Rhinolophus ferrumequinum: one gene and its partner. The protein of the gene in region 1 interacts with the protein of each later gene in a pairwise test. Links are inferred from orthologs where the notes say so. Each region holds a gene or a part of one and is shown on either strand. Other genes may lie near its edges. The genes, in order: SERGEF and DPH3.

The links.
Region 2: the proteins of SERGEF (region 1) and DPH3 interact in binary tests that used the Homo sapiens proteins (3 or more experiments, as listed by UniProt). The link is inferred for Rhinolophus ferrumequinum from reciprocal best matches to the Homo sapiens genes SERGEF and DPH3.

Annotation. Positions count from the first base shown.
Region 1 is NC_046294.1:35,805,871-35,812,950, reverse strand, and holds the start of SERGEF (secretion-regulating guanine nucleotide exchange factor), read right to left. Parts: upstream 3,967-7,080; 5' UTR 3,883-3,966; coding exon 3,823-3,882; exon of another isoform or gene 3,720-3,822; intron 1,483-3,719; exon of another isoform or gene 1,299-1,482; intron 1-1,298. UniProt on the Homo sapiens protein: Probable guanine nucleotide exchange factor (GEF), which may be involved in the secretion process.
Region 2 is NC_046300.1:30,641,969-30,649,048, reverse strand, and holds the start of DPH3 (diphthamide biosynthesis protein 3), read right to left. Parts: upstream 4,487-7,080; 5' UTR 4,339-4,486; coding exon 4,231-4,338; intron 3,673-4,230; coding exon 3,598-3,672; intron 192-3,597; coding exon 126-191; 3' UTR 1-125.

The DNA of each region.
Region 1 (7,080 bases):
GCTGACTCTGGGTGGTGAACACACCACAGTGTGATTTATGGATGATGTGATTCAGAATTGCACAACTGAAATCTATGTAATTCTACTAACAATTGTCACCCCAATAAATTAAAAAATAAAATAAAAAAAAATAAAAAAAAAAGAATGAGAACCCCCACAGGCAATGATTATTTACCTGTCCTTATGGTTCGCACTCTGACAACATCTCAGAGCCTAGAACAGATGCGATTTCATAGGTTCATTCTTATACGCGACCCACACTTAGCCGGTGGCCCCACCCCTAGGGCACCAGTTTCCACGTGAAAGGAGCCCTTAGCGTGCATAGCTTATCCAACGATCCGCCTCCCCTTCCCCTTCCAAGGCCCCCACCCAACCCCCGTATGTTGCTTTTGGGGACAGCATGGGAGTTCCTTCTGAGAAAAGCTAATTACCTGGGGTGGCTAAGAACAGAAATAATGAGGGGAAATGGGAACAAAGTGGGTGGGAAATACACTGGGACTACTTCTTGTCCCTTCTCCCCACACCCTCACTGGAAACACTGGCAATGACTTTTTCTGTAACAAAGAATTTTGAACCCTCCAGCAGGGCACATCATTGTTATTTCATCTGTAAGTGAAAGAAGCTGGCAGCGATCTCTCAGGGCCTTTCCAAGTACTATGTTTTGTGACTCTAAGAGTATGAGATCCCTGTAAGGGAACAGATCTCCTCATGGTGAGCAATACGTCTATTGCTGTTATTATACAATAAAGGTCCATAATCCCTAATCCCTTGCAGCCAGATATATTTCAGATGCAGAATTTTATGGACTTTAGAAAAGTAATACGGTATATAAATCATATACACTGCTGCAAGGGCTGGGAGCAGCACCCCATAAGCAAAGCAGTATTATTTCTGCAGGAAACGGTACACATATTCACAATAAGTGGGTAAAAACTATAAACAGCCTTCTGTCAGGTCAGTTTGGGGTGTTCAGAGCTTTTTGTATTGGAAATGGAAGATAAGGGACTGTGAACCTGTGAGGAGAATCTTATTATGATTTCAAAAATCCTTATAATTTCTCCAAGTATCTATTTCTGGCTGGGTCTTCCTAAAGATGAGTAATAAAACCTTTAAAATGTGTTCGTTTTTTAAGAACACCTGAATGAGGAAAAGAGATTTAAAATAACGACAAAAAATACAAGCCCCTGCCCCTTGTGGTCTATTCTACAGCTGTCCAGGGCTGCAAGGACTCCAAGCTGGAAGAGCAAGCCATGGCAGGGACACAAGTCCCAGAGGTCCAAGGGGGCAATATTTATTACCAATCACTGAGTGTTTCTCCGTGTGCTGGGCATTCATCTTTACGTCTCACAACAGAGGAGGTGGGCACTGTTACTGTCATTGTACAGATGAAGAAACAGACAGGTTAAGTAGCTTTCCATAGTCACATAGCTGGGTAGGCAATACGTTGGATGCCCACTCCTTTCATTATTCTATACTGTGTCTCTAAAAATAAAGAAAAAAGGACATATGGTGAAGCAGCCCAGAGCTCACCTAGCAGGAGGCTAACTGTATGACCCTACCTAAAATAGCACACTGTCACTTCCTCACTGTTTTTCTGCTTTATCTTTCTTCATAGCACTCCCTGACATTGCAAGTTTACTTGTTTACTGTCCATCTCCTAAAAAGTAAACTCCATGAGGCAGGAACTTTGTTTTGCTCACTGCTATTCCCCTGCATCTGAAACTGTGCTGGCCCAGAGAAAGTTGCATATATTTTATAATGAATTAATGTAAGACCCTATGAGTCCCCATCTAGGAAAGATTAAATGAAAAGCTTCCATTGTGACATGGAGGGCAATGCACAGGATTTCTCTGTCAACCCTGAGTTCTCCGTGGCTGCCCCATTACCAAGGCTACAGGTTGCTGAACAGAAAGTCAGATACCAGCATTATGGAATTCAAGTTATGGGACCAAATTTTTATAATGCAGCAAGAGATCCTAAATCTATGATAAAGCAAAACAAAAGGAAATTTCAGTACAACTTATTAAGCTGTATTTGCCTCCCTTCCTTACACCACACATAAACACACACACACACACACACACACACACACACACACACACAACTCCAAGGAGGTAAATCCCCTTGTTATGGACTGAATTGTGTTCCCCAAAAATTTATTTGTTGAAACTCTATCTCAGAATGTGACTGTGTTTGAAGATAGGACCTTTGAAAAGGTACTTAAGGTTAAATGAGGTCATAAAGATGTGGCCCTAATCCAACGTGACTGGTGTCCTTATAAGAAGAAACACAGGGATGCTGTCACACAGAGAAAAGGCTGCGTGAGAACACAGAAAGAAGGCAGCCATCTGCAAACCAAAGACAGAGGTCTCAGAAGAAACTAAACCTGCTGCCGCCTTGATCTTGGACTGCTGACCTCCAGAACTGTGAGAAAATAAACTTCCATTGTTCAATCCCCCCAGTCTCTGGTAGTTTGTTATGGCAGCAGAGCAAACTAATACACCCCTCCACACACATTAATGCAGCCGGAAGAACACACACCGTCAGGCCTCCCAGCACAGCAGAGGGGTTAGATTCGACAGCCTTTTTGTTTCAGTACAGACAAGGCCCTATCTGAAAGGCTTTTTCTGTCAGATGTTTCTCTGTCCCCACAGACCAGTCTCTGGCCTAGGAAAAGCTAGAGACAGCACCCAGGCCAGGCAAACATTCAATCCCCAACACCACCCCCAGCTCAAAGATACTCAGACTACCTCGGGCCACACCACGTTCTCCCTCCTGCCAGTCTGCAGTCTTACACACAAGCGCTCCCTGTACTGATACTTACTGTTTTTTCCAACTAGTTAATACATCCTGGTTTAACAGCAATACAGGTATTTCTCTCCCTTTCCCCCCACCCAATACTAGAGTTGGAAGTCTTTCACTCTGGTGCTTTTCTCAAAAGACCAGCACGTACTAGCTCTCACACAACAGGTCCTCATTCATTCATTCGTCAACAAATACTTACTGAGCACCTTACAACAAGCAGGACCCTGGCACCGTGAACAAGACAGGCACGGTACCCACCGTTACCACGCTTACATTCTAGCCAAGGAGCCTGACATTAACAAATTATACATTTCATTACAATTGGCATGTGGGCTATGAAGAACCACACGACACTGCGTCTGGTTGTTCCCGTGCATCTGGTCGGTGCCTGCCACACACGCCGGTGCAGAGACCCTCCTCTCTCCCAACCACGAGAGACAAAAAGATGCCTCTAGTCTCTCAGTGTGCCCGTCAAACCAACACCAGCGCAGACTCCCACGCCTCCATACAGGCAAGATCCGGTCACAGCGGAATATCAGTAACTATGCAGGGTCTCCGCCGGGTGCGCCGCCAAACACCGCAGGCCTCACATCAAATAATGCTCCCGCCAGGCTGGGGTAGGGCTGGAGAGAGGCCTCCATCCTCCAGGCAATGGGAGGGTGGGGAGCACAGTTAGCCCGACGGGGCGATCCTCTCTCTCCAGAGGCCTCCACGGTCTTTCCCGGAGCTCTCGCCGAACCAGACGCTCTGCCCTGGAGACAGGTCCTTCCCACTGCGCCGCAACCCCTCCGGTCCGGACCCCCCCAGCGAGCAGGCCCCCTAAGTCACCGCGTGAAGACCCTCCCCTCCCCGCCCTCTCCACTTCAGACCCCAGCCCAGGATCCTCCAACCCAGAGCTGGAGCCGGGATCGGACCTCAGCTGCGCAGCCCAGGACAGCCCACGCCGAGGCCCGGAGCTCCCGGCGTCTGTGCGACCCTCAGTCCCAGCGGCCCCGGCCCGGGGGCGGAGCCACGTACCCAGGCGAAGAGCGCGACCGCGGCAGGGGTAGCCTCGGAGGCGCTCAGCTCGCGCTCCATGCGGAGACACTCCGCGAGCGCTTCCGGAAGGGGCCGGAGGAGGGGCCCGCCGGGGGAGGGACTTGGGGCCTGGGGGTGTGGGGCGGCGAGGGGCGGGGCCTGTGGTTGCGAGGGGGCGGTGCGGAGGGCGGGGCCGGAGGACCGCGCCCAGGTGCCGCCTCCTGAGCCGCCTACCAGTGTGGCCCCGCCCCGGCGCGCTCTGAGCGTCTCCGCCCCCGGCCTCCTGTGCTGCAGGGTCCGTGTCTCTCCCTCACCTTATAATTCTATACGAGTGCACCACGCTCCTTCACGTTTTTATCTCTTTGGAGCCCCACGACAGCCCAGAGGGGCTAGCAGGGCAGGAATTGTGTCACCATTTAATGGGGAAGAAATTAAGCCTGGGAAGGGGTGGGAAGGGTTCTGCCCCAGGGTCTTAGGCCACGCTGTCGCTGGGCCTGCTTTGGTGTGCTGGGCTTGCTTTGGTGTGCGTTTGCAAAATCTGAGGGAGCTTTTTGGTAGGCGAGTACAGTGTCTTACATGGTTGGTGTCTCCTTCAGCGCCTGGCACCAACGAGAACTTACACCTCGGGACATTGAACTGAGGAGGCTTGTTCTTGGGGATTCCTGCCAGGGCAGCCTTCTAACTCAGAGCTCCGAGCCTGGACCTGCCCTGGTTCTGATCATCAATACCAGATAATTTTCACCGAACAAAAATTTTCATATACAATGGCCTTTATCAGAAACACCCATATACTTTTGGTGGAAGCTAAATAAGTACAATTTTCCTGAAGGAAAATGTGGCAATGCCTATTGGGAACATAAAAATAGATAAATAGATATTTACCCAGTAATTGCACTTCTGTTAATTTATCACAAGAGCAAAATCAGAGCTGTTCACAAAAACTTAAACTGCAAGTTATTCATTATGGGGTTACATATAATCGGAAAGAACTTCACTACCTGAAAATCCAAAAATAAATTGATTTAATTATGACATAGCCATGCAATGGAATAAACTAGGCTGCCATTTAAAAATGTTTTGGAAGATATTAAATAAAGGAAATATTCATGATATGTTGTTAAAGTATTATACCAATTTTCCACAGGTGTGTATCTGTGTGTGTGTGTGTGTGTGCACGTTTGAATGGAAAATTGGTATATTACAGGTGATTTTTATTTTCTTTTTTGTACATAACCCACATTTTCCAAGCCACACATTTTATTATGGCTACAAATGGGGCCGCATTAAAGATGATAATCCATATTCACTAGTTCTTGACCCCTCTGTTGACACAAGCCTCCAAAACTCCTCACCCTTTATGCCTCAGAGCCCTGGAGAGTGTCTGGGGTGAGCTCAGCCCTTTCCTGTTCTTTCTCTCCACCCACTCCTCATTGTTTTTGCTTGTAAGACCACTTGAGGGCAGCACCTCACCTTTACCTCTCCAGCCTATGGCATCTTGAGAACATCAATGGCCAGGCTAACTAAGAACAATACAAACTTTAGAGAGGCAAAGCAGCTCTTCGTTCCGGGAGACTTTGATGTGCGAAAATTATACCATGCTTGCTGATGCATATGTAATAGGACATAAAAATAGCACCCTATCTGTTTGGGCTAAGACCCCAAGACATTAAGTGCCAATACACCCACATTATATTAATAAAATGAGGTACAAGACCACCAAAAATAACTTGTGAAGGTGTCTAGAAACCAGGGTATGATTGCCAGTGTATGAAAAAGATTGGAGAGACTGAGAGAGAATTCTGATAGGATACCGTGTTTCCCCGAAAATAAGACCTAGCCAGACCATCAGCTCTAATGCGTCTTTTGGAGCAAAAAATTAATATAAGACCCGGTATTATATTGTATTATATTATATATATTATATTATATTATAGACCTGGTTTTATAGTAAAATAATACCGGGCCTTATATTAATTTTTGTTCCAAAAGACGCATTAGAGCTGATGGTCCGGCTAGGTCTTATTTTTGGGGGGAAATAGTATGTGGCAATAGTTGTCAATATGCTGTGAGTCCCGCCTATCTCATGTCTAAGGAAAGGCATGCTTCAGCTGGGCTACTTAGAGAGCTTCATATGTATCCCTCCAGTCAAGCTGCCGTCCAATTCGTGTTGAGATATCCAATAACTTTTAGTTAGATCACTGCTCTAATAGTTGAACAAGAAAGACTGATGCTTTGGAGAGGTCTTTCATACCCCGTTTTTCATAACAAAGAAAGTCTGAGTACGCAAGAGCAATTTGGCCAGGGGGATGGTCTTAGACCCAGTCCAAGGGAATTCTGGAGGGGTGAAGTGACACCCCAAGAGAGTTGACCACTAGATTCTTAAGAGGCTGAGGGAGATGAACTCAACAGCCCAGTCAGAGAGGTACATTTACCCACATCAAGAGATCCTAAGAAATAAGGTGGGAAGGTCTTCCAAAACACCCACAGAGAATGAGTCAGCACTAAATACTCACCACGTACAGAAAGCCCTGATACCTACTCACAGCCGTATCAGACCAAAAAGAACTTTCCACTCCTTACCTCTCTTTTCTGCCATCATTCCCAAACCCTGGAGGAGCCAGAGGCATTCAGAGGGTGGGGAAGGAGGAGCAAGAAAATAAAGAAGCTAAGCACACCCTTTCTCAGTTCTAAAGAAGAAGAAAAATGGTGGACTTAGGTAAAGTTTGTAACTTTTACTTAAGACTGAACTTTTAAAATACTGAAGAGAGAGAAAGAGACACAGAGATATTACAAGCTAAGGACTGAGAGTGAACAGAAAATTCAAGGCCAGGACCCAAGATTTCACCCAAAGGAGCAAAGAACTACCCACAGAGCTAGTTTTACTAGAGAGAAGGTCTGGGAGATTTCACCCCTTGAATATACATGCAGCAATGCTTTAGCTAATTTACAGTTATATTATTATGTTATATTCCTTAATACAATTTCTTGGAAGTGGTGAGATGTTGTAACTATTTCAACTATTTACATGCCACTCACTAGCTCTTCCCATTCGTAGCCTGGTTGAGTTGCAGTTCTTGAATGAACCGAGATTTAAACTATTTGAGGGTATCACTTTCAGATGCCTTATATCCCCATAAAAGGAAATTATAAAGTATTTTGGGCCATACAGACTATATCTCCATACCATACAGGTGAGGAAATTTATTCCATTAGATTATCTTATTTGATCCTCTCAATATTACTGGTATGATAAGTATC
Region 2 (7,080 bases), on another chromosome or scaffold:
TCCACACTCGCACAGAATAGCAAACTACAAAATGGTTGTCCTCATGAAGAAGCCAGTAATTTTGCATTTGATTTTTCCAGCTTGGCTCATTCCCAACTGTTCAGGATTTGGATTTAGAGTCTTTTTCAGCATTTAACTAATTCTTTGTTAGTGGAAGGAGCTGGGATGGTTTCTCCACACATAAACTGCTCCTAAGAAAGAACAAAATATTAATCATTGAGTGTCTGGGTTACAAATGCATCAATATTAAACTTGTATCTTTTTACAGAATCAATCCAGCTCTGTGAGTTTTTTCATTGCTTTATCACTTCATCCATGTTCAAAGAGTCAATGTCAGCACCAGAATTGTAAACTTAGAAGTGTATCAGTTTTTAGTCCTGAATTCATATTTAATATTAAGCACCGTATCTTATAAACAAACATGCTCATCTTTACTACAGAGCATCCACTTCTCAGAAATCATTTATAAAGACATTGCCACACCTTTTAAGCGTCTGTATTAATTACTACTTACACAAAAACTTCTCCACTTCAGTATTTGGTCATTCAAATACCTGTCCCCTTCAAAGTAATTACTTCAACTAACGAGGATAGCTCTTTTAGTTAATCTGCAATGTTAGCTACTTTAGAAATGAAGTCCAATTTCTGATTATTTATCCTGCTTATGTCAGCTACAAGAAATCTCTGCCTCCCAGGTTACCCTCATCTCCTGCAATCTGATCACCATAGGATCAGTCTGTATTCTGTCCCTGTTGCTGTGTCACTCCTGCCCAGCACCTGGAACCACTGTGCTCTTTGGAATTTATGGTCCATCATCAGCACAATGCTCCATATTCTCAACCTCTTCTTTAAATGTCCTTTCTGCTCTAACACAGTGGTTCTCAAGGTGTAGTAGTGGTGGTGTGGTGTTGATTTTGTCTCCAGGGGACATCTGGAAATGTCTGGAAACATTTTGCGTTGACCTAATTGAAAAAGGGGGTGCACTGGCTAATGGGTAGAGGCCAGGGATGTTACTTAACACCCTCCACTGCACAGGGGAGCTCTGTACAACAAAGTTATTCAGCCCAAAATGCCCACAACGCTGAGGTGGAGAAGAGGCCAGCCTGCAAGGACACTGTTTCCCCTGTAATCCCTGAAATGAGGCTCTGTGTTCTCTCGGAGCCCCAGTACTACAGAGTCTGGCGGAGGGGCTGGTTGCTCCTCTCTGCCACTGTTCTCCTTCCCTCTCTAAAACCCACCAACTTTGAATCTTGTCATGAGACTATATCATCACTATTCATCTCTGTTGCTATCATCTTCCCCTCTTGGATCCCTCATTCCGACTCCTCTGGGATATCCAGTGTAGTCATCCTACCACCTTTTCACTGCCCCCTCACTCCCTTAATGTTTTCTTTATCTAGTTTAAATTCATGGTCAATTATGGTAATTGCTCATCTCTCACTCCATCCTATTCACTTGGCAAAACCATAACCCTGGTTAAATCTAACTTCCTTTGTCTACATTCACCCATGTAGCTGAATGTCTACCACCGTAAGCCCTCTCCATCATCACCAGTTACTGTCCCATGTCTCTGCTCCCCTTTGCAGCAAAATCCTTGAAAGAAATGTCTGTACTTGCTGCTTCCTATTTTTCTCTCATTCTCTCCAACAGGTTTTCCACCCATCTGGCTCTGTCTCCTTTACTCCACTGACACAGCTCCTATAACCATCACAAATGGCATCCCTGTTAAAGCCAACTGTTAATTTTTTGTTATCTTTTTATCAGTGGCATCTAATAAGGCTGATCACTTCCTCCACCTTTCCTCATCTGGCTTCCAGGATATGACACCGGTGGCTTTCCTCCTTCCTCAGTGGTTGCTCCTTTTTGGCCAGCTCTGCTGATTCTTAGCTTCCCTCCCTGATTTTTTAATGTTGCAGTGGCCCAAAGTTCAGTCCTTTTTTCTTGTCCATCTCTACTACATGCATAGTCCTGGTGATCTCATCCGATCTCATGGCTCTAATACTACCTATATGCTGACAACTCCCAAATTTACAGTGCCAGCTGAACACTCTTTGAATGCTATGCTTACATATCCAATTGCTTTCTCACCAGCTCCACTTGGATGAAAAATAGACCTCTCAAACATAGTATGTCCACTCTTGCCCCACTATCTGCAGTCACCTCCCCCTCAGATGATGGTAAATCCATCCTTCCAGTTATGAAGGCCACAAATGTTGAAATCATCCTTGACTCCTCTCATATCCTATATCTAATCAATAAAAAAAACCCTATCCTTTAAAGTGTATCCAGAATTCAACCACGTCTCAATACCTCCATTGCTGCAGCCTGGTTCAAGCTACTCATCCCCTCCTTTGATTAGTCTAACAGCCTCCTCCCTGGTTTTCCTGCCTCTATCCTTGCTCCTTCATAGTCTATTCTGAACACAGCAGCCAGAATCCCTCTTTTAAAACTTGAGTTGGATCATGGCACTTCTTTGATCAAGAATCCTCCAATGGATCCCTATATCATTCACAGGAAAAGCCGAAGTCCTTAAAGTGGCCCACAAACATCTCTGTGATCTGCCCCACTCCACTAATTCATCTTGGATGATTCTCACCCTCATTTACTCTGCTCTGGTCACAGTGGCCTCCTTGCACTGCTTTAGGGCCTCTTCACTGAAAGTTCCCTTTGCCGGGCTGCTCTTACCCTGTGTATATACAGAATTCACTCCCTCACCTCTTTCTATCTTTGCTCAATAAGGCCAGCCATGATCACCCTATTTAAAATTGCAACCTCTTCTCATACCAGCACTCTTGATCTCCTTTACCCTGTTCTCTTTTTTTCCCAGAACACACTTTAATACAAGAATAAATCAGTAAACTTCTAAATTATAGTCTAAATTATTGTCTGCTTCTCTCATGAAGCTAACTACCTTGTTCCCACCTTCCCTAAACTCATTTTAGAGCTCATCCTTAAGATGCTAAGCTTTCTTTTATGTCAATTATGTCTCAAAAAGAAGAATGTTAAGCTTCTTACTTAAGACTTTATTCAAAGTACTAACCTAAAGTTGGGGTGGGGCTGGGCAGTGATAACATTTATTTTGTTTTCTATTGTTAATACCCCTGGGTGAAAAACAATACGACAACTAAAGGCTAAAATGAAATTGTAAAATTGCAACTACGACTATTTCTCAAACAATATATTGCAGGTATTCTATGTATAAACCAGGAAAGAATATGATGCAATTGTTCCCTTGAAAAAGTCTAGGAACTCTGAACAATTTTAATTACTGATTAAATAAAGGAGGAATAAAGACCGTCAATGAATTAACCTGTATAATTATTTTTTTATATTTATTTAGTAAGTAAGCAATAATTTTCATTAGATACAGAGCAGTTTCCTTTATTGCCCCGTCAAAGCCAAAATGAGTTAATTAGAACTTTAAAAATTTTAATTTACAATACGGCTATTAATGGGTTTTAAAAATTGCTATAAAAAACATAGTATTTACCTAACACACTGTTAGAAAACATCCCCCCTTGCCTTACCTATAGACAGACTGTTCTAGGTTCTTGGATCGAAACCCTCCCCCCCACCTTTTAGAATTCGACCCCTTACTTTGTCATAAATCACTTTTATAATGAGAGAGCAGCTAGGACACGTTGCCACGTCTTCCCCATTCTCCAAATCTTCCTATAACAAAACCAAACACCGTATGATCAGCAAAGTCTTCCCTTGGCAATCTCCTCCTCCCAAACCTTCCCACTCATAAGGGCAAGCTCCTTTGTGGCCTGCCTCCCTGCAAGGTAAGTGAGGGCCAAAAGGGCCTTCCGAGAGAAACGTCCTTGGAGACCGCATTCTCCATGGAAGCGTCTCTTGGGGAAAACACCCAGGAAGGCTAGTCAAGGTTCAGTCGCCTCAAAACCTCTGGGAAGACAAAAACACGTTCCTTCCTCCAAAAAGGCATCCCAAGAAGTGGGACCCGACGTGGGACGCCAAGTCGGGGAGGATGGCGAGAAGTCTGATGCTCCCAGCCAGCCACTCCCTCCCTGCCCGCCTCCCCATCCCGACTAAAGGCCAGATGATGGGCCCACTGACAGCTCAGAGTATCAACTTTGGGGAGATTCACAAACAGGATAAAAATGGGCGTGAATAACTATGAGCCGGATGGGCGACTGATCGGCGGAAGCAACATCGTAGAGCAAAAGCGCGCCTGCTCCGATGAGTCGCCTGGTGGGATCCAGAAGTTACCCTGGTGATGCAGAAGTTATCCCCACACGGACAGGGGTAGAAATACGTCTCCAGGTCCTCGTCATACTGGAAGTCCTCGATCTCCACCTCGTCGTGAAACACCGCCATCGTCACTGGGGCCAGCAGAGGGCTTGTCACCCCGGCCGCCCGACACCGACCCGGGTCGGTCTAACTTGGCGAATGCCGGCCCCAGCTGGGGTTGCCACCACGCACCCGGGGCCGGAACTATCGTTTCCGGCGCATAGACATGACGCAACTGCGGGCTCCGAGGCCAAATGGGTGACCTGTGACGGTCACCATGGAGATGGCTGAGTAAGGGGGCGGAGACACTGGAAGACAGCGCTCGCGGCTCAGTGGTGTCCCGCCCCGCTTCACCCATTGGACGGAAGTGGCCAATAGAATATGAGGATCGCGCGCGTGACCGCCCTGTCACGCCCCGGACACCGGAAGCTTTCAGGCACCCGAGGCGGAGTTTGGCCCGGAGCTGCCCGATAGGTGTAGTGATGGCGGCGTGGAGGAGTTTCCCTGCGGCTGTTGTCGTGTGGATTTTAGTCCGTGGACCTTAGAGAGGCCTTACCCAGGCCCCGCTGAAGACCGCCGCAGGCCTAGGTAGCACAGTCCTGGCACTCGGTGCCCCTGGGGAAAGAGCCGCAGCTTTGCTTGGTCTTCGGCGGCACTGGCTGGAGAAGCTCAGCCTTCGTGATCTTCTCCGTGACTTCCCAGTGACCGACGAAAAGCTCCCTTGGAATTTCAATTCACCGGGTGACCTTGAGCTCAGGGCGACGCGTAGCTTGTAGTTCCTGGCTGCACTCGGCTCTTCAGGTACCCCCACGCCTCTTCCTCGGCCCAGATTATATTCAAATGCCCCAAGTTGTGTTGCTGAAAGGACCAAGACCTGGGAGGCAGATTGAGTTTTAGTCCTGTGTTTGCCAAGCATATATCATTATTTACTATAGTGATTTGTAATGACATCACCTTTTAACAGGGAGTTTGCTATGTGCCAGGCATTGCGCTAAGTATAATTCTTCCATCGACCTTGGGAGTTTAGATGTTATTCCATATTATTTATCGTCAAACTAAGATACAGAGAATTGGGAATCTTGACCCAAATCATACACCTAGGAAATGAAGAGGCTGCCTGTCCCCAAAGCCTGGGAACAAATTATTTATGTGAACCACAGTTTCTTTTTTGTAAAAGTAATGGCCTCAGCAGTCACAGCATTATTACCACGAGGCTTCTTTATACCTTGAAGCGAAATGCAAATAAAAGGTGCTTTGTCTTGGAAGCAGTGCTAGTGTGTATTTTGGTATAACCGGATTCCATGGGGGTTTTGCTTCATTACTAGGCAGTAATTCAAATCGTGGTAGAGAAGGAACGCAGTGCAGTGAAAAAAGTGCTATTGAGAAGCAGATCTGTGCTCAGAATCTGACTTGTGAACTAGCTCTGGGAGCTGGATATTTACATTTTTGGGCTTTATTTTTCTGACTAAAATGGGTTGGATTAGAGCTGACTTACAAGTTCCCGTTCAGATCTAACATCCTATGCTGTCGTTCAGCAATCATATGTGCCGTATTTAGTTTATATTCACATATATAAACATCCCTATGCTTATTTATGTACACACACTCAAATGTTTGCATGAAGTTACCAATTTTATGCCCACTGAAAGTGAAGTTCCACCTGGTTTAGCTCTCTTGAGGCTTGAAAAGCTGGAGGCAGAGGGGTCTTTGGGAGAAAATCTAGAAGTTACATTAAAGGAGTTCGTAGAGGATTATTTCAAAAGCCTCACAAACACTCTATTTTGCATAATTGGAGATCTACTCAGCGGTTAGGGAAGATTTTTATACCTTTGGAGCGTTAACTGGGATGATTCTGCTCTGTTTAAGCAAAGGAGAAATTCTAGTAAAGCCCACTTTGCCCCTTGGCTACTCCCTAATATCCCTGTAGACACAGATACTTCCCAGGTACCCTCTTGGGGTCAGGAGGACAGGGGAGAGTCACCAGTGTCTATTCTGTAGTCCCAGTGAGCGTTTTGAGGTTGGGAACCATCTTTAGTTCTCCAGTGCTTCTGGGAATTAGTACCTACAAATTAAAGATGAGCCAGCCATTTCTGAAAGTACAGAAATGGGTGCTGGGTGCAGTCGTATTTGGTTCATGGAAGTATAAATTGGTAGACTTTTTAGAAAGCAATTTGGATCTCTCAAAACAATTCATTGGGGAATCTTAAAATCTGAGGTTAGTAGTCCTAAAAGTTATAGGGGTCGTTGGGTAATTTTTCTGTATAATTTCTTTGTACTTTTCCAATACTTTGTGTATTACTTAAAATGGAAGAAGAAAAAGTAATGAAGCATTAATGAATAATAATTGACACTATGTGCCAGGCACTGTACCAAATGGTTTACATGCACTATGTCATTAAAACAGCCCAGTGAGGTATAGGTATCATTAATCCCATCTTCACCATTGGGGCCCTTGAGGTTTGGGGGCTAAGGAGACTTGCCTAAAGAGGTAAAGCTGGTAAGTGGCAGTAAGTTATGGTGAGAACTCAACAACTGTCTGACCCTAGAACCCAGACTTGTCATCCCTTTGATGCCCTCTGTGATATGAGGGTGTGAAGCAGAGCTAGATGAAACAGTAGCCCTGGAGCTCTGCAGGCTGCTGAGATTTTCACTAGAGCAGTGCTGATTCCATTGAGACCTAGGTTTGGGGGTCTTCTTGGCCTTCCATACTGTTTTCATCCTGCGCTCTGTTAGCCATACCCTCTGTCTGCCTGAGCTGGTTCCCTATGTGGTTCTGCCCAATTTGAGTTCATAGTGTGCTGAAGAAAATAAAACTGTAGCCAAACATGT